Macaca mulatta: one gene and its partners. The protein of the gene in region 1 interacts with the protein of each later gene in a biochemical or structural test. Links are inferred from orthologs where the notes say so. Each region holds a gene or a part of one and is shown on either strand. Other genes may lie near its edges.

The links.
Region 2: the proteins of CLTC (region 1) and OCRL form a complex in vitro, tested with the Homo sapiens proteins (2 studies listed by BioGRID and IntAct, with this or other methods). The link is inferred for Macaca mulatta from reciprocal best matches to the Homo sapiens genes CLTC and OCRL.
Region 3: the proteins of CLTC (region 1) and HIP1 form a complex in vitro, tested with the Homo sapiens proteins (3 studies listed by BioGRID). The link is inferred for Macaca mulatta from reciprocal best matches to the Homo sapiens genes CLTC and HIP1.
Region 4: the proteins of CLTC (region 1) and TOM1L1 form a complex in vitro, tested with the Homo sapiens proteins (2 studies listed by BioGRID and IntAct). The link is inferred for Macaca mulatta from reciprocal best matches to the Homo sapiens genes CLTC and TOM1L1.
Region 5: the proteins of CLTC (region 1) and ARRB2 form a complex in vitro, tested with the Homo sapiens proteins (3 studies listed by BioGRID and IntAct, with this or other methods). The link is inferred for Macaca mulatta from reciprocal best matches to the Homo sapiens genes CLTC and ARRB2.
Region 6: the proteins of CLTC (region 1) and CLINT1 form a complex in vitro, tested with the Homo sapiens proteins (2 studies listed by BioGRID). The link is inferred for Macaca mulatta from reciprocal best matches to the Homo sapiens genes CLTC and CLINT1.

What each region holds. Positions count from the first base shown.
Region 1 is NC_133421.1:50,364,924-50,369,813, reverse strand, and holds the start of CLTC (clathrin heavy chain 1), read left to right. Parts: upstream 1-1,955; 5' UTR 1,956-2,192; coding exon 2,193-2,234; intron 2,235-4,890. UniProt on the Homo sapiens protein: Clathrin is the major protein of the polyhedral coat of coated pits and vesicles. Two different adapter protein complexes link the clathrin lattice either to the plasma membrane or to the trans-Golgi network.
Region 2 is NC_133426.1:136,000,447-136,005,250, reverse strand, and holds the start of OCRL (inositol polyphosphate 5-phosphatase OCRL), read right to left. Parts: upstream 3,298-4,804; coding exon 3,259-3,297; intron 3,221-3,258; exon of another isoform or gene 3,003-3,220; coding exon of another isoform or gene 3,000-3,002; coding exon 2,920-2,999; intron 1-2,919. UniProt on the Homo sapiens protein: Catalyzes the hydrolysis of the 5-position phosphate of phosphatidylinositol 4,5-bisphosphate (PtdIns(4,5)P2) and phosphatidylinositol-3,4,5-bisphosphate (PtdIns(3,4,5)P3), with the greatest catalytic activity towards PtdIns(4,5)P2.
Region 3 is NC_133408.1:50,697,505-50,701,596, forward strand, and holds part of HIP1 (huntingtin-interacting protein 1), read left to right. Parts: intron 1-1,361; coding exon 1,362-1,448; intron 1,449-1,641; coding exon 1,642-1,749; intron 1,750-2,280; coding exon 2,281-2,417; intron 2,418-2,615; exon of another isoform or gene 2,616-2,877; intron 2,878-4,092. UniProt on the Homo sapiens protein: Plays a role in clathrin-mediated endocytosis and trafficking. Involved in regulating AMPA receptor trafficking in the central nervous system in an NMDA-dependent manner. Regulates presynaptic nerve terminal activity.
Region 4 is NC_133421.1:55,064,111-55,068,903, reverse strand, and holds the start of TOM1L1 (TOM1-like protein 1), read left to right. Parts: upstream 1-1,548; 5' UTR 1,549-1,588; coding exon 1,589-1,646; intron 1,647-4,378; exon of another isoform or gene 4,379-4,406; coding exon 4,407-4,491; intron 4,492-4,793. UniProt on the Homo sapiens protein: Probable adapter protein involved in signaling pathways. Interacts with the SH2 and SH3 domains of various signaling proteins when it is phosphorylated. May promote FYN activation, possibly by disrupting intramolecular SH3-dependent interactions.
Region 5 is NC_133421.1:6,238,506-6,243,241, forward strand, and holds the start of ARRB2 (beta-arrestin-2), read left to right. Parts: upstream 1-1,850; 5' UTR 1,851-1,927; coding exon of another isoform or gene 1,928-1,950; 5' UTR 1,951-1,979; coding exon 1,980-2,113; exon of another isoform or gene 2,114-4,151; intron 4,152-4,736. UniProt on the Homo sapiens protein: Functions in regulating agonist-mediated G-protein coupled receptor (GPCR) signaling by mediating both receptor desensitization and resensitization processes.
Region 6 is NC_133411.1:166,740,635-166,745,446, reverse strand, and holds the start of CLINT1 (clathrin interactor 1), read left to right. Parts: upstream 1-1,823; 5' UTR 1,824-1,998; coding exon 1,999-2,039; intron 2,040-4,812. UniProt on the Homo sapiens protein: Binds to membranes enriched in phosphatidylinositol 4,5-bisphosphate (PtdIns(4,5)P2). May have a role in transport via clathrin-coated vesicles from the trans-Golgi network to endosomes. Stimulates clathrin assembly.

The DNA of each region.
Region 1 (4,890 bases):
CCTAACAGTCACTAACGACCTCAGTGCACTTTTTGGTTAGATACTCCACACCCAATAGCTAAAATCAACTGCTTTTGGGATTCTAAAGTTACAGGGTCTGTATGAAAATACCAGACACATTAATAAATTAAATTTTGGTGGCCCATTCATGATATGGCTCTTGTATCTCCAGATTCTGAGACTGAAAATGTAACTTGATCAAGCTATTAAATTACTGTAATAAAACAATTACTCCCTTAGAATTTTAATTTAGAATTTGTCTACTTCCAAAAAGGGTTTAAAGCAGTTACTATCAGACTGGCATTTCATTTCAAACGTTGCGGAACACAGAGGATCTTCGTGTATTTAGCTTAACAATACAAAAAGATATTTTGCAACTATAAATATTCACTCTTACAACATGGTGGTAAGACTTTTCTTTGCAGAACAATCTTTGCCCTGTTACCTGCCAGATTCTTCTCTCGTGCTCAGTATGAGACAGTTAAGTAAAAGAGAAAAACACTAAAAGCAACTGATTGGCAAACTTCTCACCCTAACTCAAACTTAGCACACAAAATTACTGTCTACCCAGTAGGGTTTTATGTCCTTTAACTGAAAAGGGCACTAAAAATAATTACTGTGGACTTGAGCTTTTCTCTTTCGGGGGAGGGTGGGGAATCACCTCTCTTACAAAGATAAAAGGCACAGAATTAAAGTCTTTCATCCTTTTTTGTATTGGTGCGATTATGAAATATTATGGCTTATACTTTAGCAAGAAAGTACTGGGAAGGTTATTATTAATCGACAATGAATGCCGTTGATACCTCCATGCTCTTTGAAGACATGATGCTCCGGCTTTGAAGCGCTGCATTTCTACACTGCTAACCTACAGGAACCTATGTTGAGGTGGTCCCACGGAAATGCACGACTAACAGTTCATCTCTTTCCTCCAGGAACCTTCAGGCTTTACCAAGCATCCTTACCCTAATTATCTAAATCTCTGAGACATAAATTATTTGATGTGGCTAAAAATCCTCCTGCTAGAATTTGAGTCCAATCCTTGTACGTTCTGATACTCGAATTCTTTAACGAAACTGATTACTGAGCTAGGCTGACACATGTCCGCCCGCCAAAATGTCCGCAGAAACGTTAAGAGAAGCTGTCATAAGGCCAGCTTGAGACACATCATAAATGGCCTTCGCTGTCCTTTGAGCTAATTATCTAACACCCGAAGAGAGTGCCGGTTCTAGTTAGAATCCGCGCGTCAGGTTCTCCAACCGTCAGAAGGGCGTGTGTGAGGGCAGGGAGGATTTTAAACCCCGTTTCAGGCCCCCTCCCTAGGCTGTAGGAAACCACCCACTCTGAAGCCCGGCGGGGGAGGAGTGCTGCAGCCAGCTGCCGAGGGAGCGCTCTGCGGCGAGGCCGTTTCCCTGAGTCACGGAGAGGGCGGGAGGCTGCCCCCGTCTGCCCCCGCCACGTCCTCCTGTAAGGGGCTCAGTCCAAACAGGCAGGGGTCGCAGGGGAAGGAAGCGGCACCCGTCATGCCTCAAGGTGGCCCAACAGCCACTTCACTCCCAGGAGACGCCGCATTTCCTTAAAACGCGCTCTCCATTCTGGCAGCAATCAGCCGACCCTTCCCCATCAGTATCACGTGCACCTGGAAGTACGTGGGTGGGACCTAAAGCGCCCACGGAAGTGACGTCGGTCGCTCCGAGTCGCATGATGTGGCAAAATGCAAAAAAAAAAAAAAAAAAGTGGGGGTAGAAAAAGAAGATTGGCGAAAGTGATGAGTCTAAAAAAGTAGTCCCTCCGGTTCCTCTGTTGCCCCCCGTGTGGCGTCAGAAGAGAGGCTCCGGGCGCACAGCGCCCGGAATTCCTGCACCCGCCGCACGCACCGCTCCGTGGAGGGGTACATAAGGCGGAGGGGGTGAGGCGACTGGGCGGAGTTCTGTCGCCGGGATCCTTCCGCTGGGCTCAGCCGTTTCCGGAGTCTGCGCTGCGCCCGGTTCCGCCATTGCGGCTCTCCTGGCCCGTGGAGCCTCCGCCCCCGACCCGAGCTCTTTCGTCTGCGTGCCAGTTTCCTGCGTCCCCGGAGAGGATCCTGCTGAGCCCAGCCTCCCCCCTCCCCTTCTCCTCCTCTCCCTCGGAGAGCCCGGGCAGCCACTGCCCCGCAGCCCCAGTGACAGGAGGAGACCATTCCCCCCGACAGCGCCATGGCCCAGATTCTGCCAATTCGTTTTCAGGAGCATCTCCAGGTGCGGCCGGGCCCGGGCTGGTGAGGGCTGTGGAGAAGGTGGTAGGAATAGTGGAAGAAGCTGGAGTCTGGGCCCCGAGCAGGATCGGAGCTGGAGGGGTGGGGGGGTTGTCGGTCTTTGGGGTAGGTGGAGGAGGGGGCACTATCTTAGAAAGCTTAAACTGTTAAATGATGTGGGGCTTGGATGAAAGGACAGGAGTTGGGGTGCAAAGGGCTGCAAAGACCAGGCCTGGATCCAAAGGCCTCTCGATCTTGCTTCCTGGATGGCCAGAACTGCGCGTACAAACTCTCTCCTCCCCATTTTGTTCAGTTCATTCATTTGGGTAGGGGAGTGGGAGGGGGGATTCTCTCTTGTTTCTACCAGAGCAAGGATTCTTATCCCCTGGGCCAGTGCGGGGCTGTCACCTTCCATTGCTCTCCTCTTTCCCTCTTCGTGTCTGCACCCAGGAGTTGTGGGGCGGGTGGGTTGGGGAGGAGCAACCTTTTTTTTTTCCTCCCTCTGCGGCTCTCAACTGAGAAAGGCACCTTCTCCGGTGGTGGGGGTTGGGGGTGGTGGTGAGGCGGTGGCTTGTCTCTTGCCTTCCTTGAGGCAGTAGGGACAGAAGGTCACTGAAAGAACGAAACGAGGGTAGAATGGGAGAACGCATTTCTCAGAACGATGTCAATCTCAGAGTGTGTGGGGTCGAGCTCCCTAAGGAAACTCGCCTCCCCTTCCCACTTTTTTTATTTCTTTGGGGATGTTGTGGCTCTTAACCCCTCTTTGGTTCTAGAAGGTAGGAAAGAGTGATACAGAGGTTATCTTCTAGTCTTCTCGAGTAGTAGCAGGTAGTTTTGAATATCTTCCTCAGGATCGCATGGAATTGAACAGAGCCCTGGGGACAGAGCACAGCTGCTCTGAGACCTGCGGGGCTATTTGGTCTGTAACTGGCTTCCCTTTAGTAAGTTCTAGAGTTCTTTCCCATGGTTCCTTATCCTGGAGGCAACATATTGTTGTCTCATCTGGCAGCATGCCAATCGCTGGCCTAGGCAGGTGACCATTGGAAGGCTTCACTGAATTAAACCTCTTCAGAGCTTTTGATTTTCCTGTGTCACCAATCCTGATTTTTACTGTAGCTGAAACAATTTATTCCTATTAATTTGCTTTCTTCCCAAATATCCCCTTAAAGAAACCTGCCTCAGCTCTATCGTCTGAAGGGCTAATTCCATAATGACAGAGAATGCAGTGGTTTGACATGACACTAATATCAGTGACTTATTAGACACTTTACCATTGAAGACCATTTTTATTTACATTCCCCCATTGGTATAACATACATAAAAGAGTTTTGTTAATAAAAGGTTTTAATATTCAGGCTATAAGTAACATAATTTCATATTTCTTTGCAGGTATTACCATGTTTGCACTAGCAAGGACTTATTTTCCTTTAAGGCTTGAAATGTAAAGAATAATAAATCTTTACCCATAAAATGAGTCAAATAATGCACTTTCTTCAGTCATCTATAATTTTCAAATAACTCATCTGAAGTAATGGAATATACCTTGGCATATCTTGGCATATATATATAAATATATTTATGCCAATAATAAAAACACTTTTACAGAAGGTTAAAAACGTTAAATAACAAAGTGGATTTTTTTTTAATCAATCCAAGTTTAATTGCTTTAGTTATTTTTGTTAAAGTGGGGTGGCAAATGAATGTGGAGAGTTGAGAAAGTGCTGTTCTTAAGTGTGAGGGGAAAACGCGGGCTTGTTTTCATACTAAGCTGCATCTGAAATATCTTTCTGCAGACAAATGTTTATAAACCACACAAAGAATCAAGTACAGCTGCTGTTTATTTTCCATGGCAGATGTATAGCTCACTACTAAATCTTGTGGTGGTTCGAGTAATAGCTTTTCATTTCTTTTAAAGAGGAGACAAGAATTGTTAAATGATGCCAGAGATTGGAACCCAACCTTGTCACTTATTGAAGACAAATTTAATACATGTCTGTTTTGTAACTGGCTCAGTTTCAGCAGATACTTGAATGAAGCCATTTTCTTCTCAAATAATTTGAAGATTTTGAATATAAAGCAGATTTGCAAATTGAAAATTCAGCCCTCTGTGTTTTGGATTGCTATGTCATGCCTAAAGTTAAGCTTGCTTAGCTAATATGACTGTGTGCTCCAGCTGATTAATTGCAGAGCGCAAATAACTACAGCCTCTTCCATGATAATATATCTCCTGACTTCATTATCTCCTACCTTTTGAAAAATTAATAAGGTTTTTGTTTTTTGAAGAGACAGGGTTTTTGCTGGAGGTCAGTGGCACTGTCACAGGTCACTGCAGCCTTGACCTACTGGGCTCAAGCCATCCTCCCACCTCAGCATCCTGAGTAGTTGGGACTACGGCCATGAGCCACCACACCTGGCTAATTTTTGTATTTTTTGTAGAGATGGGGCTTCACTATGTTGCCCAGGCTAGTCTCGAATTCCTGGGCTCAAGCAATCCTTTGCCTTGGCCTCCCAAAGTGCTGGGATAATAGGTGTGAACCACTGAGCCCAACTAATAAGGATTATTTTAATTGGCGTCTTAGGTCTCTGACCTCTGAGCTTCTACCAGTTTGCTAAGTAGCAGAAAATTTTCTGAAACACGTAGGATTAAAAACTGGAAACAA
Region 2 (4,804 bases), on another chromosome or scaffold:
AAAATGTCATCATTTTGAAGGGTTTGATTTCTATTTTGTTGTCTTTTGGGGTGCTTGTTGCTTTTGCTTTTTGCATTTTCAAATGTGTTAACTTTGAAGAGGATAACCTGGGATAGGATAAGTAATTACTTAGATAGAACTAAGGGAAATAAAAGTATTAATGCTTCTTTTCTGCTGTGATCCTCTTGCCTAATTTGCAGGGGTTTGTATTCTAACATGACTACAGGAATATGGGGCAGGCCCCTTTCAATCTGGAAAGTTCATGAGTTGAGTGGAGAGTCCTATAAACACAGATGGAAACCAGAAACCAGATAAAAGGCTGAGAAATCAAAGGTTCAGGAGGAAGAGCTTACTTTGAGGAAGATAAACACAAACCACTAAAATCTCAAAACATGTAAACAAGATACGGTGTTGAACATCTAGCAGTAAAGCTTCATGTGAACAGTACTATTAAAAACTATTACAAAACAGAAATAAACTGAGAATTTAAGTGAATTCCACAAACATTTATTGAGTATTTACTACGTGTTACCCACTAAATTACGATGAAAGAGTAGGGCTAAGAATAAGCATAAAAATTCTACCTGAGTGTAATTATTCATTTCAGAATATGAAGATTAGAAATAATTGGCATACAGCAAAACAATGGAATTCAGAATTTGGTAGTTGTCAAACAGAAAAGAGTGACAAATCCTGAATGCCAACTCTGCCTTATCCCTAGGAAACGCTTTGATTTGTTCAAGGAAGGTAAAAGGTCAAACAGGCTTTTTCATAATCTATTATCCTTGAAAAAGATGAATCTTAGTGTTTGATTCCCTGTTTCCAAAAAAACCTGATTTTTAATTGTAATTTTGGTCAAGTAAATTTCCCATGGTTGACAGTAGGAACCACAGACGTAAAGATTTAAGACAGGCTTCAAGTTCTAGGATAAAAAGGCCAAAAGTAAAAAGTTCTGGACGCTCGAGTCAGAGAAGGCACCAGAGAGACAAGAACATGAGGATTACAGATGGTATTATGGTATTAGGTGTCTCCAGTAAATGCTTTCAAGAGAAATTTCTCAGTGTAATTCTGAGACATGTTACATAGGATCAGATCTCAGGTATTCTACTTCCTAATTGCAAACAAGTGACTTAACCTGTCTGTGCTTCAATTTTTGTATCTATAAAAGGGGGATAATGATATTACTATTTTATCCCTCGCACGTGGATTAAATGAACTAACTAATGAAAAGTGCTTAGAACAGTACCTGGCACATAAGCAGTCATTGAGTGTTAGTTATATAGCAACAACTGTATCAGTTGTTAGTTTATATATAAACTATAGTTTATATATATTTAAAACTATATAGTTTATAAACTGTTAATATAGCAACAACTATATTAGTTGTTAGTTATATAGTTGTTAGTTTTATAGTGTTATTTATATATTAGTGTTAGTTATATAGCAACCCCATACCCCCACATATACCCCCAACTATACCCCCATAACTTACACAGAATTGGAACACAAGACTTCCTTATTAGCTCAACAGAGTTCCAAATCTACTAATCCGAGGGACCACCTTCTGGGCTGTGGTCATCTCAGTAATGTAGCTATTCTATTCAATCTTCAGATTTTTGTTTTTACATTAGAGGAAACCAAGGCACAGAAGTTTTACTGGTTTGCTCAAGGGTCACCTCTCTCTAACCCACTCTAGCCTTTGGAAATGTTAGTGGTGTTCCACTTTTCTGCTGAATTTAGTTTTATTAAATTCTGAATTTAGTTTCATTAAACTAGTCTTCCAGGGTTGGATGAAATCTGGGTTTGATGAACTTCCCAATAGAGCTGACTAAGCAGGACCTAGGAAGGAGCTACTTCATAGAACTAGCTGACATCCAGTTACAGTGGCACCAATAGTCTCAGAAAAGAGCAGGTTGGGCCAGTGGGGATTTCTTCCATGTAAATCAGACAGCATAGACACAGAGGATCTAAAAGTGGGGACTGAGGAAATTGGTTTTAGGCAGAACCCAATGTTGGGAGATGGCAAGATTTAAGTGAACAATTTTTAAACTGGGAAGGAATATTATGCCAAGAAGCCAGTGAATATCCAAGGGAGGTGTCTTGGGCACACAGGGATAGGGACCTATGATATGTAAAGGTCACCATGGATACTTTTGAGATGAGGCATTAGTGACAATAGAGGTTAGCAGCTATGGTGATAGCTTATCAAAATAATCTTTTGATCAATCATTCAACAGTATTTACTGAGTTCCTATGTCTAAGGCAGAGAGGAAGGTGACACACTGATAAAATACTGTTATTTCTATCTCTACACATTTCATTACATTTTCTAACAGTCAAATCAGTAAGTGAGGCAGTTTCTGGCCTACACTAAACCATTACTGAATTAATGAATATGCCTTCAAACAAGTGGGATAAGGGGGTAGGGAGACTGGAGAAACCAGCTGAATAGGGTTAAGACAAGTCTGTAACGTGAACAATGAGGCATTTCCATAGCATTTTTACGTTTTGTAAACCACTCTCGCATTTATTTTTCCCCCACTTATAACTCCAAAGGCTATAAGGTAAGGCAGTTAATGGTTTTATTAAACTGAAGAGTTAACTTTGGCCCAGAAAGCTTTATTGACTTGCCCAACGTTACACAACACATGTCAGTTGCAGGGGCAGGAACTAAGAACCCAGGCTTCCTGCTTCCCCGCCCATTCAGTCCTTCCACTGAGCCACACTGCCAAGCAAGATCCAGAGGCTTGGAAGTTGAGGACAAAGCCCCGAGGTTAGAGAGCACTGGCACTTCACACCTGGACCTGAACCTGTTGCCCGTGTGGCCTTAGTAGGAGGACAGTGGGTGACCCGTCGCGGTTTGGGGTTGGGAGGTAATGGCAGGCTCACCTCCTCTGTGGGAATCAGGTGGTTACTTACTCATATTGCCCGTTCCTCTGGGCTAGGGTCAGGGCGCAGGGCTCCCGGAGAGGACCCTTCATCTCCATACCCTCGACAGTATGCGGGCGCTAGTCAAGGGTCTCCTGTGGAAGCGCGGTGGGGAGGAGTGGTGCACTGCGGGGCGAAGGGGGTCTTCCACCCCCCGCCCCGGCCGCCCTCACCCGCCCCGCCCGGCTTCGCCTCCCGCGCCGGCCCCCTCCCCCACTCTGCTTGGCCTCTGGGCCACCCGGTTGCCCCGCCCCGCCGTGTTCCGCAGGGCCCCCGACCCCCACCCGCGGCCCTGCGCGGTCTCCCCTCCCCCTTCTCTCCGGCGGATACGGCAAGGGGCTGGGCTCCGACCGGGAGCGGCGGCTCCATCCAGGCGGCCTCCGGGCTCGGCGGGACAGCGGACTGCGGGCGGATCCGACGACAGTGGCTCCCGAGTCCCCACACCCACCCACCCACCTCGGCTGCGTGTCGTTTGAGGAACCGCTCCGCGCCGGGCGCCGGGCGCCGGGAGCCGGGAGCCGGTAGCGGGGAGCTGGGAGCTGAGAATCTGACCCGAGAGAGAGCGGCGCCTCGCGCCCCCGCCAGTTTTCCAGGCCGCCGCAGATTCCGCTCCCTGCGGCCAACCTGCGGAACTGCAGCGAGAGACCCGACGGACTGGGGGCGTCCCTACTACGTCCAGCAAGGAATGGGGTTTAAATGCCACCTGTGACATCAAAATTGTTCTGAGGACTTTGAAGATGGCCACAGAAACAAAACACAGTCACACCTATGGGGGATCTCAAACCTGTTGTGTCAATACGACCCACATCATCCATATATGAAACAATATATATATAAAATATATAAAATTTATATATTATATAATATATATTATACATAATATATATTATATATGTAATATTATATATAATATAATATATATTATATATAATATAATATATATTATATATGTAATATTATATATATATATTTCTTAAGGTTATAATGCTCTGTGTTGGTTATCCTACCATTTCCCTTCCTCTTCTTTCTTCTATGCCCTATATCAGAGAATTCCCCAAAGCCCAGACCTTTGCTCCTCCTCTGCATCCCCTCCAGGTCACCTCTAACTAGACAATGTCCAAATATATATCCCTGGCCCAGACCTGTTACCTAATAGAGTCCATTGTTAATACATCACTACGTCACAAAACTAACTCATTATCATTTCACTTAAAAGCCATATATTGTCTTCCCCCTCCTAATCTCTATATCCAATCAGTCAACAAACCCTGTTAATATTTTACATGGAATTACTTTTAGATTCCTTATTTTCTTTCCATTCGCACTGCCATAACTTTATTGTAAGCCCTTGTGATAGCCTATCTGGGTTATTGCATTTTTCTTTAAATAAATCCTATTGGGTTTACTCTGTCCTTTGACCTGTTTACTCTGTTGACAACCATAACAATATTTTTCCCAAAGTAATTTTTCGATTGTGTTATTCATTTGTTCCAGAATATATAATACACTAAGTATCAAGACTGACTGTAAGTCTGTAGTAATTAAAAGTATACTATGGAGATAGACAATCAATGAAACACAATATAAAGCCCCCAAACAGACCACACATATATGGAAGGTTGATATGCAGCGTGTGGGACATTTCAAATCAGTGGGGAAATAATGGATTATCCACTAAGTGGTAGTAGGACTACTGCTTATCCATATGGAAAACTATAAAATTAGACCCCTACCTCTAACCATGGAAGAAAAATCAATTCTAGGTGGATTAAAGATCTAAATGTGAAAAGCAAAACTTTATAACTCTCAGAAAAAAGCTGAGTATCTTTATGAGCTTGGAATATGGAATGAGAATAAGACATTTAGCTAAATAAAA
Region 3 (4,092 bases), on another chromosome or scaffold:
CTGGCAGGGGCCAGGTGCTTACAGCCTGACCCTCTATTGATGGTGAATCTCATGTGAGACTTAGCTCAGGGGCTCTCAGCCCCACAGCATGTCAGCATTAGCTTACGGGTGCCCAGGCCCCATCCTAGATCAGTTACATTTGGAAACTCTGTGCATTAGAACCTGTACACTAGTATTTTCTTTTTTTTTTTTTTTTTTCTTTTTGAGATAGGGTCTTACCCTGTTGCCCAGGCTGGAGTGCAGTGCGGTGGGTCACTGCAACCTCCACTTCCTGGGCTCACACAATCCTCCCCACTCAGTCTCCCAAGTAGCTGGGACTATAGGCACGCAACACCACGCCCAGCTAGTTTTTGGTTGGGGTTTGTTGCTCAGACTGGTCTTGAAGACCTGGGCTCAGGCTATCCATCCACCTTGGCCTCCCAAAGTGCTGGGATTACAGGCGTGAGCCACCGCACCAGGCCCAGCAGTAGTATTTTCTAAAGCCCCCAGGTGTGATAGCCACTGCTTTTTTTTTTTTTTTTTTTTCTTTGAGACAGAGCCATGCACTGTTGCCCAGGCTGGAGTGCAGTGACGCGATCTTGGCTCACTGCAAGCTCTGCCTCCTGGGTTCACGCCATTCTCCTGCCTCAGCCTCCCAAGTAGCTGGGACTACAGGCAAGAGCCATCACGCCCGGCTAATTTTTTGTACTTTTTTTTTTTTTTTTTTTAAGACGGAGTCTTGCTCTGTCGCCCAGGCTGGAGTGCAGTGGCCGGATCTCAGCTCACTGCAAGCTCCGCCTCCCGGGTTCACGCCATTCTCCTGCCTCAGCCTCCCGAGTAGCTGGGACTACAGGCGTCCGCCACATCGCCCGGCTAGTTTTTTGTTATTTTTTAGTAGAGACGGGGTTTCACCATGTTAGCCAGGATGGTCTCGATCTCCTGACCTCGTGATCCACCCATCTCGGCCTCCCAAAGTGCTGGGATTACAGGCTTGAGCCACCGCGCCCGGCCAATTTTTTGTACTTTTAGTAGAGATGGGGTTTCACCGTGTTAGCCAGGATGGTCTCGATCTCCTGACCTTGTGATCTGCCCGCCTCGGCCTCCCGAAGTGCTGGGATTACAGGCATGAGCCACCGCGCCTGGCCGATAGCCACTGCTTTAGACAGTGGGTCACACTGATAAAACATCCACCAGGAGCAGACAATTCTGTGTTTCTCTAAGGAAAAAACTATGGTCTGAGTCAAGAGGTGATTACTCATGAACTTCACGTCTAGGCAAGAAGCTTACCCACTAGGTAAGCTCCTCTATTCAGTGCTTAATTAACGAGGATGAAGCCAGCTATGAGAACTTGCTGTGACTTTACCCTGTGTTCCCTCTCACAGATCACCTCCTCTCCACAGTCACGTCCATTTCCAGCTGCATTGAACAACTGGAGAAAAGCTGGAGCCAGTATCTGGCCTGCCCGGAAGGTAAGAATGGCCAAGGATAGTCTCTGTCATTAGTGACAGCTGGACAGGGTTGAGAAGCACCTGAATGCAGAAATGGTGACAGGTTCCTCTGCATCAAGAAAGGCGTGTAGACAACTCATAAAATAGGGGAGGAAAGGGTATGAAAGTGACACCATCAACCAGACCTGAGAAACTTCCTTTCCAATCCTGGCAGACATCAGTGGACTTCTCCATTCCATAACCCTGCTGGCCCACTTGACCAGCGACGCCATTTCTCATGGTGCCAGCACCAGCCTCAGAGCCCCACCTGAGCCTGCCGACTGTGAGTACCAGGGCATAAGGGGCTGTTCATGGACCGGGGGAGCTGGGGGCCTTTAAAAGTCTCTGTTGGGCCGGGTGCAGTGGCTCATGCCTGTAACCCCAGCACTTTGGGAGGCTGAGGCAGGCGGATCACTTGAGGTCGGGAGTTCAAGAACAGCCTGGCCAACATGACGAAACCCCGTCTCTACTAAAAATACAAAAATGACTGGCCAGGTGCAATGGTTCACGCCTGTAATCACTGTAATACTTTAGGAGGACGAGGCGGGCAGATCACCTGAGGTCAGGAGTTCGAGACCAGCCTGGCCAACATGGCAAAACCCCGTCTCTACTAAAAATACAAAAATTAGCCGGGCACAGTGGTGCACCTGTAATCCCAGCTACTCGGGAGGCTGAGGCAGGAGAATCGCTTGAACTCAGGAGGCGGAGTTTGCCATGAGCCGAGATTGCACCAGCGCACTCCAGCCTGAGCAACAAGAGCGAGACTCTGTCTCAAAAGAAAAAAAAAAAGGTGTCTATTGCCTTGTATCTCCAGCACTGACCGAGGCCTGTAAGCAGTACGGCAGGGAAACCCTCGCCTACCTGGCCGCCCTGGAGGAAGAGGGAACCCTTGAGAATGCTGACAGCACAGCCATGAGGAACTGCCTGAGCAAGATCAAGGCCATCGGCGAGGTACTTGCAGTAGTATCATTGAGGAGCGTTGTTATTCTGGGTGTGCATGCTGGTGAATGGCCAGGGAATCAGTGATGTTCTGAGCTAGTTCTTTCTGCACTTACAACTTGATTCTAGAAAGAGATTGTTAAAATTGGAAAATCCAGGCCGGGCACGGTGGCTCAAGCCTGTAATCCCAGTAATTTGGGAGGCCGAGACGGGTGGATCACGAGGTCAGGAGATCGAGACCATCCTGGCTAACACGGTGAAACCCCGTCTCTACTAAAAAATACACACAAAAAAAAACTAGCCAGGCGAGGTGGCGGGCGCCTGTAGTCCCAGCTACTCGGGAGGCTGAGGCAGGTGAATGACGTGAACCTGGGAGGCGGAGCTTGCAGTGAGCTGAGATCCAGTCACCGCACTCCAGCCTGGGCGACAGAGAGAGACTCCGTCTCAAAAAAATAAATAAATAAAAATAAAATTGGAAAATCTGGCCAGGTGCAGTGACTTATGCCTGTAATCCCAGCACTTTGGGAGGCTGAGGCGGGCAGATCACTTGAGATCAGGAGTTGGAGACGAGCCTGGCCAACAGGGTGAAACCCTGTGTCTTCTAAAAATACAAAGATTAGCCCAGTGTGGTGGCGCATGTCTGTAATCCCAGGTACTTGGGAGGCCAAGGCAGGAGAATTGCTTGAACCGGGGAGGTGGAGGTTGCAGTGAGCCGAGATCACGCCATTGCACTCCAGCCTGGGCATAAGAGCGAGATCCATCTCAAAAAAAAAAAAAAATAGGATCACTTGAGCCCAGAAGTTTGAGACAGGCCTGGGCAACAAAATGAGACCCTGTCTCTTTCAAAATAAAAAATAAAAAATAATTTAAAAAGAGAAAACCTCCTGAAGGACTTTCCAGCTATATTTAATTCACTGGCTGTTAGCTGAGAATCTGCTGTGTTCTCATCATTACACTAGGCAATATCGAAGAAGTATAGGCAGCTCCCCTGTCTCTGAGGATTTTTATCTAGATGGCCAGGTAATACCCAAAATGGACATAACACTGTATTTATTCATTTACTAAAGATGTAGTGGCCGAGCACGGTGGCTCACACCTGTAATCCCTGCACTTTGGGAGGCCGAGGCAGGAGGATCACTTGAGGCCAGGAGTTCAAGATCAGCCTAGGCAACATAGTGAGACCCTGTCTCTACAAAATAAAATTTAAAAAAAAATTAGACAGGCGGCCGGGCGCGGTGGCTCAAGCCTGTAATCCCAGCACTTTGGGAGGCCGAGACGGGCGGATCACAAGGTCAGGAGATCGAGACCATCCTGGCTAACATGGTGAAACCCCGTCTCTACTAAAAATACAAAAAAACTAGCCGGGCGAGGTGGCGGGCGCCTGTAGTCCCAGCTACTCGGGAGGCTGAGGCAGGAGAATGGCGTAAACCCGGGAGGCGGAGCTTGCAGTGAGCTGAGATCCGGCCACTGCACTCCAGCCTGGGCGACAGAGCGAGACTCCGTCTCAAAAAAAAAAAAAAAAAAAAAAATTAGACAGGCGTGATGTCACGCACCTGTAGTCCCAGCTACTCGGGAGGCTGAGGCAGGAGGATCGCTTGAGCCCAGGAGTTGGAGGCCACACTGAGCTATGATTGTGCCACTGCACTCCAGCCTGGGCAACAGAGCAAGACCCTGCCTCTGCTATAAA
Region 4 (4,793 bases), about 4.7 Mb from region 1:
TTTTTCAGAGATTGTAGGTTGACTGTAGGTTGCAGAAAAGGCAAAACACTTTGCTAGAGGCTGTAGCATGGAATACAGATTAGGTTGGTGATGTCACAAAAGAGGGTTTCAACAGTGTCAGCAGAGGCTGTTAGTGATGACTAAGGAAGTTGATAAATGGCACCATCTGAAATAGTTACTCGCCCTGAATAGGCAGGTGGAGAATATTAGCTACAGATGAGACAAATCCCATTATGAGAAATATCATCACAACAAGAATATTTCATTCCAGATTTTAGAATCCCAGGTTTTGGCTCACTTCGGTCAAGAAAAACTATAAATAATTGAGTTCGAGATAAATAATTAAATGTTAGCCTCTTGGAGTGCATGGCAATTGGTTTTGATCTCTATATTAAAATTCACAAGACCACGGACATAAGTCAAAACAGGTCCCCTTCGTCTCCCTAGTCACCATATCCAGGGCTAAAAAACAAACTTGAAATGGGTGCCAGTTAGACTATAGGAAACAGGATCTACAAGCACCAGGAGCTCATCTATGGCTATCTGACATGGCCTGGGGACGCATCACTCTCTGGCAGCTGGAGATTGTTAACATCGCCAATTCAATGTTAATTGAATGCAAAGGAATAAGAAATAAATTCTGGTTCCCAAAGGGCAGCTGGAAAGGTGTTGGGCTTCTCAAACTCAGGCCTAAAACCAAGCATCCTCCTTGCCAGAGGAAACGGAAAGCCCCTCCCCCATTTTTAGAATCAGGCTGGAAAACACGGCTCCCAGAAAGTGGGGTTAGAAAACAAGAGCTTGCGTGGCGGCGCCCTGTGGTCCCTCGAGGAAACAGGAGAGACACAAAGAGGGCCTGCTCCTGGGAAGCCCTAACTTCGAACCCAATCCTTCCTCCTAGACATTACCTACAGCTTCAAAGGGCAGGGCGCACACCTCCCCTCCCGCATCTGTAGGGCGAAGGCAGGTCGAGGGTAAACATTTCTAGTTATTCAATTTATTCAGTGGTTAACTATTTTGTGGGTACCAGACACCGACCTAATCGGTTTACGTCCTTCCCTTAATTCTCACAATTCTGAATTTGTGTTATTAACCCCTTATTATCTTTGGTCTACCAAGGGCAGCCAAAGAGGCGCAGAGAAGAGTGACAATCTGCCTAGCAAGCGGCGGGATCAAAGCCTGGGTCTCTACTTCCCAAGCTGGAGATCTTGGGCTTCCTGCTCCTCCTGCGCGGGGCGAAAAGCCCACCTGGGATCCGAGCGGGCGGCCGCGCCACTCTCGCAGGCTCCATACGCCCACCGCTGCCCGCCTGTACCACCTGCAGCGGGCAGCGACGCCTCCTTGCCGGTCCCGCAGGGCGCGCTGCAGGTGCGCGGGGCGTCCCGAAGCCCCGCCCTAGCGTCCCTGCCCCGCGCCCCGCTCCTCACGCTCGGTACCCGCGCCCCGCAGCGGCAGCGCACAACGCACCGCCTCCGCCAGAGCCAGGGAAGCGCTCGGGCGAAGAGGAGGAGCCAAGGGTACCGAGCGGGTGGAGTCGGGAGCCAGAGAGCGGTGGAGGCGGATTTCCTGGGCCCGGCCCTCTGGAGCTACCATGGCGTTTGGCAAGAGTCACCGGGATCCCTACGCGACCTCCGTGGGCCACCTCATAGGTAAGGAGGCGCGGGGAGAGACGCCCAGGCAGGCAGGGGACCGTGGGATCCTTTCCTGCTTGATCCATTCTCGGCCTGCAGAGGACGGAGTTAGTCCAACTTGGAGAAAATCCTTCCCCTCCCCCAGCAACTTTCCCAGGGCACCCGCATTCCACCCGGCCCCCTTTCGTCCGTTTCCTTCTTGGCCAACTCACTCTAGAACCCGCAGTCCTCAAAAATGTACCTTCCTTTCGATGTCTCCTGGGGAGTGGAACCAAACAGGTGAACCGCGGGAGTCAGGCATGGAGTATTTGGGCCTCCACAAGGAGACACCAGAAACTTGTCGGCCAGGGGAAAGTTATTCCTAAACGCACACTCTCTAGGGCACGGTATTGTTATGCCCGTTTTACAGAAGAGGAGGCTCTGGGAGACTAAGTGATGTGACCTTACTGTGAGGGGCAGGTCTCCCCAAACCAGTTTTCAATAGTGCCAAGCTTATACAACCTGGATTGCTTTTCTGGGTAAACAAAGATAATGAAAATGCTTGGCATTGGAGTGAAGAGGAGGGGAACAGAGGAGCCATCTGGGGGCACGGAGGTCTCTTGCAGGCCACTAGGGACTACACCGGCATCCACCTAAAAGATTTCTCTCTCCTCCGAATGTACCTTGCATGATGTATGTAGAAGCCAGTGATTGGACTCTTACAAGCACCAGCTCACTGCTCCCTCTTTTCCCTGATTCCTCCCTTGGGAATTGGGTGTGGCACGAGTGCATATTAATGCCAGGCAAAGTGTGATGATGTCAGGAACTTAGTGGGGTGATGAAATCTTGAGAACCTAGTAGTTGTAGTAAAGAGGCCGAGATTTGGAAAATTTAGCTCACAGCTCTACTAACTGCCGTGACACCGAACACACCACTTAAACAGAACCTTAGTTTACACATCCTTATAAAATGGTCAGAGTAGCTACCATTGAGGAGATGCTTTCCCTTGATGGCTGTGCTTTGTTGGATATTAGAATGAACCCTGAGCAGAAATGGGTTCCGACTGTATCTTCATAGGCAAAAGAAACTTCAGCAATTCATCTGCTTAATTTTTTAATTCTGTAAACATGGACTAACTGTCAGCTATGTGTCTGGACCTGGATCAGGCACTGGTAAGGCCAAGGTGAGACGTGATCTCAAACCTGAGGGAACTCATTTTCTTGTAGGGAAGACCGCACGGTTTTGTGCCGCACCTTTGCAATGCAAGAAAATGCAAAACACACAAAACTTACCGGAAGGGAGAAATGAATTCTACTGTGGCTTTTGAAGGGTGAATGGGAGTTTTCTAGGAAGATAAGCTTTGTCCATTTGGTGCCAAATTCAAGTTTTGTTTGTTTTTTGTTTTTTGCTTTTTTTTTTTTTTTTTCTTTTTTTTGAGTGTCGCTCTGTCACCCAGGCTAGAGTGCAGTAGCTCTCGGCTCACTGCAACATCCGCCTCCCGGGTTCAAGCAATTCTCCTTTCTCAGCCTCCCGAGTAGCTGGGACTACAGGTGCACGTCACCACGCCCAGCTAATTTTTGTATTTTTAGTAGAGATGGAGTTTCACCATACTGACCGGGCTGGTCTCGACCTCCTGACCTCAGGTGATCCACCCGCCTCGGCCTCCCAAAGTGATTGGGATTACAGGCGTGAGCCACCGCACCCGGCCTCAAGTGGTTCTTTTCCTTGATTGAAAGCAAGCCAAACTTTGGGGTTCCCCGAAACAAGTCCTTATTCTTTCTTTCCCTTCTCTATCCTTTTTGGTTTTTTCTCCATTTCCCCCAGAACCCCGTGTTTTCATTCTTAGGGATCTTATCCTTCTCTTAGGAAGATGTTAGCGCATTCATGTTGAGTGTTCCATTACCCTTTCCAGGTAACATCTTGTATTGCCTGATTATCTAATGATAGGGTTCCAAGTGCAGAAACATTCTGGTCAGCCTGGTGCAGCTGTGGTTAGTTTAGATGCTTGTTATTATTAGTTTGGATAGTTACTCAGTGCCAGTTTGAAACAATTAACACTGATAGTAAAAGTGTATGCAATGGAAGTTTTTACGTAGTCGAGATAAGCAGTGTCTTTGCAAGTATTGGTTGAAGTTATAATAATTGGTAAAATTAGAAGGAATCGTGAGATTAAGATGATAGGAGAATAAATATGTTACTATTATTTGGAGTTATGCCAATATTTTGGCTCCTAAGACCAACGGATTACTTCTCTCCTTTAAAAATTCTTTCCTCCTGTCCCCCCAGAGAATAAATTATTTTTAAAAACAAACAGTGAGACCAAACAACGTAGATTTGAATGCCAATTCTACTTCATACTGACTGTATGACTTTGGTAATTTCCTAACCTCTCTCAACTTCTGTCTCATCATCTCTAACAGTGGGTTAAATGAGATTGCATATGATAAAATACGTAGCACTATGCAGTTCACCTTGTAGGTAGCTGCTCACTAAGCCCTAGTTCCCTTGTCTGAAAGCCAGGCAGGTGGAGATTTAGCTGGCCTGGCCTGGGCCTGTGGCCAGGTATTGTGCTTGCAGTCTTTATTAATAGATCACTCATTACTGTTGCTGCAACAGCACTCTGAACTTGGGTTCTGATTGATTCCTGAATTACTGAGAACGGTTCCAAAAAAAATCACTTTGCCCTTTGGCAATATACACTTAATGACACTTGCTAGTGCAGCCTAGGCAGATTATTTCAGGAATACCAGACATTTTTTATTCTGTCGTAGCTCAGACTCAACAGCTTTTTCTTGGCAGAAAAGGCTACATTTGCTGGAGTTCAGACTGAAGATTGGGGCCAGTTCATGCACATCTGTGACATAATTAACACTACCCAGGATGGGTGAGTACAGCATAGTTTCCGTGTATTTGCCTCTGATAAGAAGCATCAGAACTACAGCACGTTTTCTCTTGCAAATGTTTCAGTTTTGTTGTTGAAAGAGTGTTTTCATCATTCATTAGGCGCTCTCTACCTTTTGAAGACTTGTCAGATTGAAATATTGGGGCAGCTGCTTGCTTCAGCATGTAGAGTATCTATAAATCCACTATCATTTTTTTCCTCTTGGCAGTTTCTTTAACAGTTTCAAATTTTGTCACTGTGAAGCTCAAATTGCTTCTTTTTAAAAGATTGGGAAAGGCCAGGTG
Region 5 (4,736 bases), about 44 Mb from region 1:
TGAAAAGATATTTCCCCAGGCGGGAGTGCAGTGGCACGATCACAGCTCACTGCAGCCTTGACCTCCCAGCTCAAGCGATCCTCCCACCTCAGCCTCCCTAGTACCTGGGACTCTAGGCACTAGTCACTATACTTGGCTCATTTTTGGGTTTTTGGAGGTTTTTTGTTTGTTTTGTTTGTTTTTGAGATGAAGTTTCGCTATTGTCACTCAGGCTGGAGTGCAATGGCACGATCTCAGCTCACTGCAACCTCTGCCTCCCAGGTTCAAGTGATTCTCCTGCCTCAGCCTCATGAGTAGCTGGGATTATAGCCTAAATTTCAACATGTTGGCCAGAGTGGTCTCGAACTCCTGACCTCAGGTGATCAGCCCACCTCGGCCTCCCAAAGTACTGGGACTACAGGTGTGAGCCACTGCACGCGGCCCCCTCTGCTTTAAAAACCACTACTGGTTCCTCGTGTCCTTCTGCGGGGCCCTCAGTCTCGCTCCTTCATCTGCTATACAAAATCCTCCACAACCTGTTCCAGGCTTCCCCACCAACACCACACAACAGGATGTGCCTTGTCTTTCTCTTTGGAATGCCCTGTCTTAACTTCTGCCCGGCCCGGCACGGTGGCTCACGCCTGTAATCCCAACACTTTGGGAGGCTGAGGCGGGTGGAACACGAGGTCAGGCATTTGAGACCAGCAAGGCCAACGTGATGAAACCTTGTCTCTATTAAAAATATGAAAAGTAGCTAGGCATTGTGGCAGGCGCCTGTAATCCCAGCTACTCGGGAGGCTGAGCAGAGAAGTGCTTGAACCTGGGAGGCGGAGGTTGCAGTGAGCCGAGATCGCGCCACTGCACTCCAGCCGGGGCAACAGAGCGAGACTCTATCTCAAAAAAAAGAAAACGAAAAAAAACTTCTGCACATCCTTCAGAAAGACTGTCCTCATTTGTTCTCCGCTCCACCCCCGCCCGGGCCGAGCGCTGTTAGTGGCTGTGTCTTCTGACTCAGACCTCTGTAATAGCATACCTGGGTAATACCTGTGTATGTGTCTCCTCAACTATTCTAGGAAGTCAGGGGCCATGGTAATTCATATGTGTCCCCATCGATTGGCATAGTAAATAGCATAAAATAGGCACGGATGGGTGGGTCGATAGATGGACCGATGGGTGCGAGCGAGTGAGTGAGTGGATGTTAGCTGGGATGGGTGGGTGAAGGAGATGGAGAGTCAGAGACATTGGAAAAGGGAACCCTGCGAAGATCAAATGTAGACACCAGGAGGAGCTGACACGCTGCGGTGAAGAAGCGGGAGGGCTGGCCACAGAAGGCGGTACGCTCCGCGTGGAGCAGGTGAGCCGCGCGCACTGAAGCAAGTATCACGCAATTGAACTGCTCACCCACGTGTTCCCCCCCACCATCCTCCTTCCCAGACGGCGCTTCAGCTCATTCCACCGCCCCCAACAGCCCGGTCGCCCCCACCGCCACTGAGAAAGCAAACAAAGGGGAGGAGACCCCTAAAGGTTCTGGATGCCGAGGGCCAATCGAAAGACTTAGATCCCCTGGAAGGCGGGAGCCTTGGTTTAGGGGGGCCCAATCGGTTTCAAGGGGTTGCGGCGGGGCGGGGAGATGGGCGGGAAGAGCGGGAGCGGGCCCCGCGCGCGGGGGAGGGCTCCCCGGCTGGGACGGAACGCGAAGGGTTGGGGGCGGAGCCAATGGCCCCGTGTGTCTGCTAGGAGAGGGCGGGCAGCGCCGCGGCGCGCGCGATCCGGCTGACGCATCTGGCCCCGGTTCCCCCAGACCAGAGCCGGGCCGGGAGGGAGGGGGAAGAGGCGAGAGCGCGGAGGGCGCGCGTGCGCATTGGCGCGGGGAGGAGCAGGGATCTTGGCAGCGGGCGAGGAGGCTGCGAGCGAGCCGCGAACCGAGCGGGCGGCGGGCGCGCGCACCATGGGGGAGAAACCCGGGACCAGGTAAGGGAGGTGGGGCCACGCGGCGGGGCATGGGCGGCGGCTCGGGGCGGGGGCTGGGACGGTCCCAGACGAGGACGCCGCGGAGAGGATCTGGGGGCCGGACGCCTGGGTCCCTAGGGACAGCCATCCGGGGCCGCACGCGCAGGTCCTCGAGGATAATGAGGTTGGGGGGAAATGCCCGGGCCCCTGCAGAAAGCGAGGCCGGAGGGGGATCAGAAAAACCGGTGTCGGGGTTCTCTCAGGGATGTGGGGCCAGACTACTGGGCTCTCCCGTGCCCAGGAGTCTGGGCAGGCTGCGATGCAGGGACGGAGGGAGGAGCAGGTGGCTGGCCCCGAGGGGTCGTGTACGGGGAGGCTGGATGCTGGGAGGGGGATCCCCTCCAGACTCGTGCCAAGCCAATGCAAAGCCTCCTGTCCAATATCCCCCAGGTAGTCGCGCTGCCCACACCTGTCCCGAGGGCCGGGTGGCTCCTCATCCAAACTTCTACCTTCCCCTGGGTTGCCAGGAGCAACAGCTTCATCTTGGGAGAGCCTGACCCTTCCTGAAACTAGATCGGATCCCTCTCCCTGGGGGTGGGGGAGGCAGTATTCACGCTGGGCGCGCGTCCACTCCCCGGATGTTTTCTGTGCAATCGAGGCTCTTTCCTTCCACTGATACCCCGAGTTCTCTTTTTTGGTCTCTAGCAAAATCCACTTCCTGTTGTGACTCAACACCCCCAAGGGGTAAGGGGTGAATGCCTGAGTCCCAGGGGAGCAGGAGCAAAAGACAGAAAGGTTGGGGCTGTAGGCCTCAACCCAGAGGGGATCGGGAATAGGGAATTGGTCCTGAGCTCTGGCTTGCTCTGCAAAGCATCATATCGACCCCACTTCCAACCTATAGAGTAGGAGAACCCAGGTTTCTGAGCGTCAAGTAGATGAGTATCAGAAAGAGATCATCAGAGAGATGATCGGTATCCTGGATTAGGGTTTAAACATCCCAGAGAAAGGGGAAGTTGCTGCCTTGTGGGAGGCCCCTGATTTCCGTTATGTGGTTCAAGGAGTGGGACAGATGGACCAAAGGGGACTGCTGACTTGACCCAATTTCCCTCACCTCCATCAAATTCTGGGCCACAGGAAATGGAGAGAATAGCAGGAAGTGTGAAAGGACATCTGCTTCAGCTACCCCTGCCCCCATTGGGCACCTCCCTGGTCATCCCCACACTCTGCCTCCTTGGCCAGCCTAGTATCTGCACGCTGCTCCTCCTCAGCCTGGCAGGAGGTGGCTGGGTTAGGATCCAAAGGGCAGGTGCCTTGCAGCTGCTCCAGGGCAGTTGCCCCAGAGCCACACTGCAGTTGGCCCACTGACTGTGGCTGTCACAGCCCTGTGCCAGGGCTCCTAATGGGAGGACACCCTGGGACAAAGAGGAAAACCAGAAGCAAAGGGGAGGGAGAGCCTGGATGATGCCACAGCACTCAGCCCCCAAGTTGGGACAAAAGATAGGATGTTTATTCTAGCTGCCACCGTATCGATGTTTATTCCCTTTTATTGGTTAGGAATACCTGGGGGCCTCCATACCCTTTACCTTATAATCTTTGGACAGCTTGGCTTTCTGGGAAGAAGGGACAAGTGAAGTTGTAGCAGAAACTGGGCCTATGGTAGAAACCATTTAGGGCCAAAGGCCAGAGTCATTGCTCTCCTATATGCTCCAGCTGTCAGAGCTGTAGACCAGATGGAAAGATGGTTAAGTCTTACCCAGATACTGCGGCAACCTGCCCATTGGGGTCCTCTGGGAATGGGGTGGTAGAGTTGGAGGAGGGATGGGCTAGTTGGCAGGATTTCACGTTCTGCTGTCTATCTGAGGATCCTTTCCAGGGATCACTGCTGAGGCAGAGTGGATTGGAAGGAGTAAGGTGATGCTTCAAAGAATAGGCTCACAATTGGCCATATCACTGGGATTGCCAAACACTTCCTTACCCTCCCAGCAGTGGGTGGAGTCCAGGCTTAAATTGTTTCAGCAACTGGAAAGCGAATACCCTTCAATTGAACAAACTATTGATGCCAGCTACAGAGACGGATAGTGTAATATTGATTGAGAGGATGGACTCGGAGCCAGACCGCCTTGGTTTCTATTAATTCCCACCATTTACTCTCTCTGTGACCTTAAAACACTTAACCTCTCTCTGCCTCAGTTTCCTCACCTGGAAAATAGAGACATTAGGACCTCCATCACTGGGTAGTTTTATTTTATTTTATTATTTATTTATTTATTTATTTATTTATTTGAAATGGAGTCTTGCTCTGTCACCCAGGCTGGAGTGCAGTGACGCAATCTTGGCTCACTGCAACCTAAGGCCGGGCGTGGTGGCTCACGCCTGTAATCCCAGCACTTTGGGAGGCTGAGGCGGGTGCATCACCTGAGGTCAGGAGTTGGAGATCAGCCTGGCCAACTTGGGGAAACCTTGTCTCTACTAAAAAACTACAAAATACAGGCCAGACGCAGTGGCTCAAGCCCGTAATCCCAGCCCTTTGGGAGGCTGAGGCGGGCGGATCACTTGAGGTCAGGAGTTCGAGATCAGCCTGGCCAACATAGGGAAACCCCATCTATACTAAAAATATAAAAATTAGCAGCCAGGCGCAGTGGCTCACACCTGTAATCCCAGCACTTTGGGAGGCCGAGACTGGCGGATCACGAGGTCAGGAGATCAAGACCGTCCTGGCTAACACGGTGAAACCCCGTCTCTACTAAAAATACAAAAAATTAGCCGGGCGTGGTGGTGGGCACCTGTAGTCCCAGCTACTCGGGAGG
Region 6 (4,812 bases), on another chromosome or scaffold:
CTTACTGAAACCTTTTTCAAAGCTGCTTTTGGTAATTAAGTGAATGCAACTTGGAGAGGGTTTCCTGTAGTCTCAGCTACTTGAGAGACTGAGGTGGGAGGACTGCTTGAGCCCAGGAGTGTCAGACCAGCTGGGGCAACAGAGTGAGACCTCCAACTCCAAAAAAAAAAAAAGAGGTGGTTTGACTTGAGGGACCCGGGTCAGAGGTTGTTTATTTGGGATTATTGTTACCTAGCTTCATGACTAGCAACTGTCAATTTCACTTCTTTGTGAATCGGAGTCTTTATCTGATCCTTTCTAGGGATCCTCCCATTTCAGCCTCCCAAGTAGCTGGCCTCACAGTTGTGTGTCCCAGTGCCTGGTTATTATTATTATTTTTTTTGTAAAGACGGGGTCTCACTTTGTTGCTCAGGCTGGTCTTGAACTCCTGGGCTCAAGTGATCCTCCTGCCTCGGCCTCCCAGCCTCCCAAAATGCTGGGATAACAGGCGTGAGACATTGTGCCTGGCCTGTAATGAACTACCGTAGAACCTAAGATTAGCCTTCAGGCTTTTGCATTTCTGACAAACAGATGGCCCCACCCAGACCAGCCACTCCTCTGCTGGTCCTCCACCCAGAAGTCGACGCAGCAAAGGAGAACCATTTTCCACACTCCTCTGATTGCATCCCCAACCAATCAGCAGCACCCATGCCCTAACCCTCTGCCCACCAAACTATCTTTGAAAACCCCTAGCTTCCAAATTTTCAGGAAGATTAATTTGAGTAACAACTCTGTCTCTTAAGTGGCGTGGCCAGCTTCATGTCAAACTCTTCACTGCAATGGCTTGGACGCAGTGAATTGATTTTATCTGTAAAGCCGGCAGAAAGAACCCGCTAAGCGATTACCCTATATGCAATTACCTTAAATGTTTCCTTGATTATTATGTTTCTTCCAATTACCTTTAAATTCCAAGAGAGCTGGGTCTCTAACTGTATTCCCCACTTCTGGAACATACAAGATGCCCAATAAATATTTGTAGAATGAAAAGAACTGTAAAATTTCATCAGACAGATCAAAGGAAACTTAAAGTTGCTTGAAGCTTTAACAGGGGCATTGATAAAAATGAGTAAGTGGAGAAGGAAGTGATGACAAGCATTGCAACAAAGCAATGAAAGCAATGTGCATATTTATCCTTAAAAAACACAAACCAGTCACATATATGCGTATGTGTGCGTGTATATATAATGTTGGCTTTTTAGTTTCCCGTGGAGTGTGAACTGAGTTTCTGAGGTTTATAATAAAGTATTTAACAAGGATTTCAGGTAGTTGTCTAAATATAAAACATTGTATCATAGAATTAGAGCAGAAAAGGATTTAGAATACAAGTTCTTCAATTTTACGGGGGTGGAAACTAAGGCCTAGGGATCTAAGTGTACTTGGACATTGGGAAATAAATACAGCGATGTGTCTGTCGATGAGGAATACATACGCCAATCATACTTCTGTATAATCATTACTAATAACATAGCAATACTGCCTTACATTTGAAAAGTGTTTGAGTGTGACTAGATCCTGCACCAGTGGTTCTGAAACTTGAGCGTGATCAGAATCACCTGGAGGATTTGCAAAAGCACAGATCGCTGGGCCTCACCTCCAAAATTTCCAGCTCGGTAGGTCTGGTGCAGGGGACTGGGAAAGTTTGAGAAAAATCATCCCAACTCCTCTCAGCTCTCGCAACTGAACCGGGCCCGCTCGGCACTCAGGAAAAACTACAAGTCCCGGCGTGCCCCGCGCGCAGCGGCGGAAAGTCGGGCACTTCCGCTCCACGCAGCGCCTCTGCTGCCGCGTCTCGACGTGTCACCGGCGGCGCCGCTGCTGTAGCAAAGGAAGGAGCTGACTGGGGGAGTTCGAGGTGGTGGGCGGCGGTGACCCCGGCCTGGAACTGCCCCGGTACGGAAGTGTTCCAGGGTCCGTGGGGAGCAGGAGAGGGAGGCGGCGGCCCGTCCCGCGCGGGACACGATGTTGAACATGTGGAAGGTGCGCGAGCTGGTGGACAAAGCGTGAGTATCGGGGGGCAGTTGTGGCCGAGGCCCACGTGGGGGAGGGGGTAGGGGGAGACGGAGCTGGCCTTGGGCTAGGGGTTGCCCACGTCACGCCCCCCGGCTCTGCCAGTCCCATCATGGCGGCGACCCGCTCCTTCCCGGCCCCGGGCCTCATCCCCGCTGGCGAGGCTGGGGAGGGACCCTCCCTAGTTTTAAAAAACATCATCTTGGCCACCCTTCTCTCCTTTCCAGGCCTTCCTGTCCCTTCCCCTCTTCCAACCCCTGGGTGCCGACGCTTTGGTCATAAGGGGCGCGTTGTTTGACGCTGGGTCACTGCCCTGGCCAGAGGACTATCTTGGCCCCAGGCTGTGGGCTTTGCCTCCTGGGGAGCAGGGAAGGTTTGGGGTTGGGGGGCACAATGCACTGGTTCTCTGTGTCCCTCAGGGTGTAGTACAGAGAGACCTTAGACCTGGCTGGATTGTGTCTTTTACCTTCTTGGCCTCCTCTTAATTCCTAATGAACCTGAAGTGTTGGAGCGGGTGTTCGTAGTGTAACAAGTGGCTATTGTGGTCAGCCTGAAGTTACTCAAAAAGAGACTCATCCTTTGCTTTTCTAACACTAGTGAAAGTAGATCACTATATAACTTCTTGCGATTTTTTCTTTTTCCACTACACATCATTTTTGGTGTGCTACTTGTTCCATTCGATTAAATTAAGAGGTCATTAAGAAATTTCCCCTTAAGAAAAAAACAACGCAGGTTTATATCCTGTTGATCTGCTTTTAAAAGCAGGTAAAACGACCAGTACGTAGTTGATTTTCTTTAAGACTGAAATAACTTCAGTCTCTTACTTGCACAAGGAAAACCTTAACTTTTAAAATGAGTATAATAGATATAACAGTGGTTAAGTAAGGTCTTCTAGGCCAGCAGGAAATAAAGTTTAAGAATTTAGGCAGTCCTCTTCCTTTTGGGTTTTAATGATTATGCAATAAGTGTGGTGAGAAAAACAGTTCATTTGTGCCACCCACCTAACCTAAAATCAGGAAGTATAGATAACAAACTGTTTTCTTGACACCAGGAAACAAAGTAATTTCCAGTGCTTTGTCTGATGCATGAGATAGAACTTAGAGCTTGATCATATTTTTGTATTTTCTGTGCTACCAAGAAGGCAATAGAGTGCCCAAGGAGCATAGGTTTCAGAACCTGCAAAGCTGGGTTCAAGCTTTGTAACCTTAGGGAAGTTACTTATCCTCACAGTGCCCTAGTTTTTTCTGGTGCAAAATGAAAATGCAACAATACCTACCTTAGAATGTTGTTGTGAGGCTTAAGGGTTAAGGGATTGTATTGCATATAAAGTCCTTAACGTGTGTTTAGATCAGTGTACTTTTGAAACTAGCAAATGTTTTGCATTTAGAGATAAATCTCTTTAAGAGAGAAGCTTCAAGTTTGAAAAGTGATTTGCTTTAATAATTTTCCTTTATAACAACTCATTTGGCTATTAAGGCTTTAGCTGTTTATTTTGGACTATTTAGCTATTTATATATTGCTTTTGCTTACCAAAGATGAAATAAACTAATAGTTCTTTTCCAGATCCAGGTTCATTGGCTTTTTTTTAGTATATTGTGTAAAGATTAGGATATCAACTTAAATAGTTTTTTAAAGGCCAAAAGAAGACTAAAAGCTGCCTTTTTCTTTTTTTTTTTTTTAATTTTGATGGGGTCTCATTCTTTCGTGTGATCATAACTCACTGCACCCTCCAACTCCTGGGCTCAAGTGATCCTCCTGCCTCAGCCTCCCAAGTGGCCAGGACTACAGGCATGCACCACCGTGCCTGGCACTGCCTCTTTATTTCTAAGTCAGAGGTCAGCAGAATAAAACCATTAAGAAACACCTTCTTCTCTTAGAGGACTAAATTTGTGGTACTCAAAAATTTGAAGAGGCTGTACCTTGTTCGTAAGACAGAAATTGAGGCAATATTCCTACTATTGTTGTACCTTTCATATTTGCTTATCACACTTGTTACTAATCTTCATGTGCTTTAGATTAAATTTACCATGTAAGTAGTTATGTAAAGGAAAAGCTATTGTTGAAAAATATTATCTGTCTTTTTACTACCCAATTTAGGATGTAGACTTCAACCAGATTATTCAAGAACATAGAAGAATGTTGCCACCAAAAACTTTTTAAGGCTTTTGTGGGTTTCTGACACATTAAGATTAGAACATGAGGTTAATTTACTGATGAGTACTCGGGATTTTAATTTTCATCTTTCACTGGCAAGAAGAGAAGAAATTCTTCCCCCCAAATGTAAGCATCTTACAGAACTGTGGATCTGTTAGACTGTGCACCTTATAATGCCATAATAGATGTGCAGCAGATCCATAGAATGGCTGGTCTGATTATCAAAGATTTAAAATTATGAAGGAACTTGCAAATGAAGAAACAGTGAAGCAATTAAGGACTATTCAAATAGGTGGATCAATAGAATGAGGGTTTATATGAGAGAAAGGTTAGGGGGTTTAACTGTCTGGTTCATATTCTGGCATTACCTTTTTAATTAGCTGTATGTATGATTTGAGGCAGAATCATATGAATCTCCAGATGTTGCATTCCTTAGAGTAAGACTTTTTCCACCTTTAATGGCTATTGGAGAAATGCGTTTCCATCAAGGAAAAGTAGTTGGAACTAGTTTTTACAATAGCAGACAAATTTTGTAGCCATTATCCTCTGTAGGCAATTTAGGCTGAAAAGGGAAATTTTCTTAAAAAGTGGTAATAAGTGTTATACTTAAAT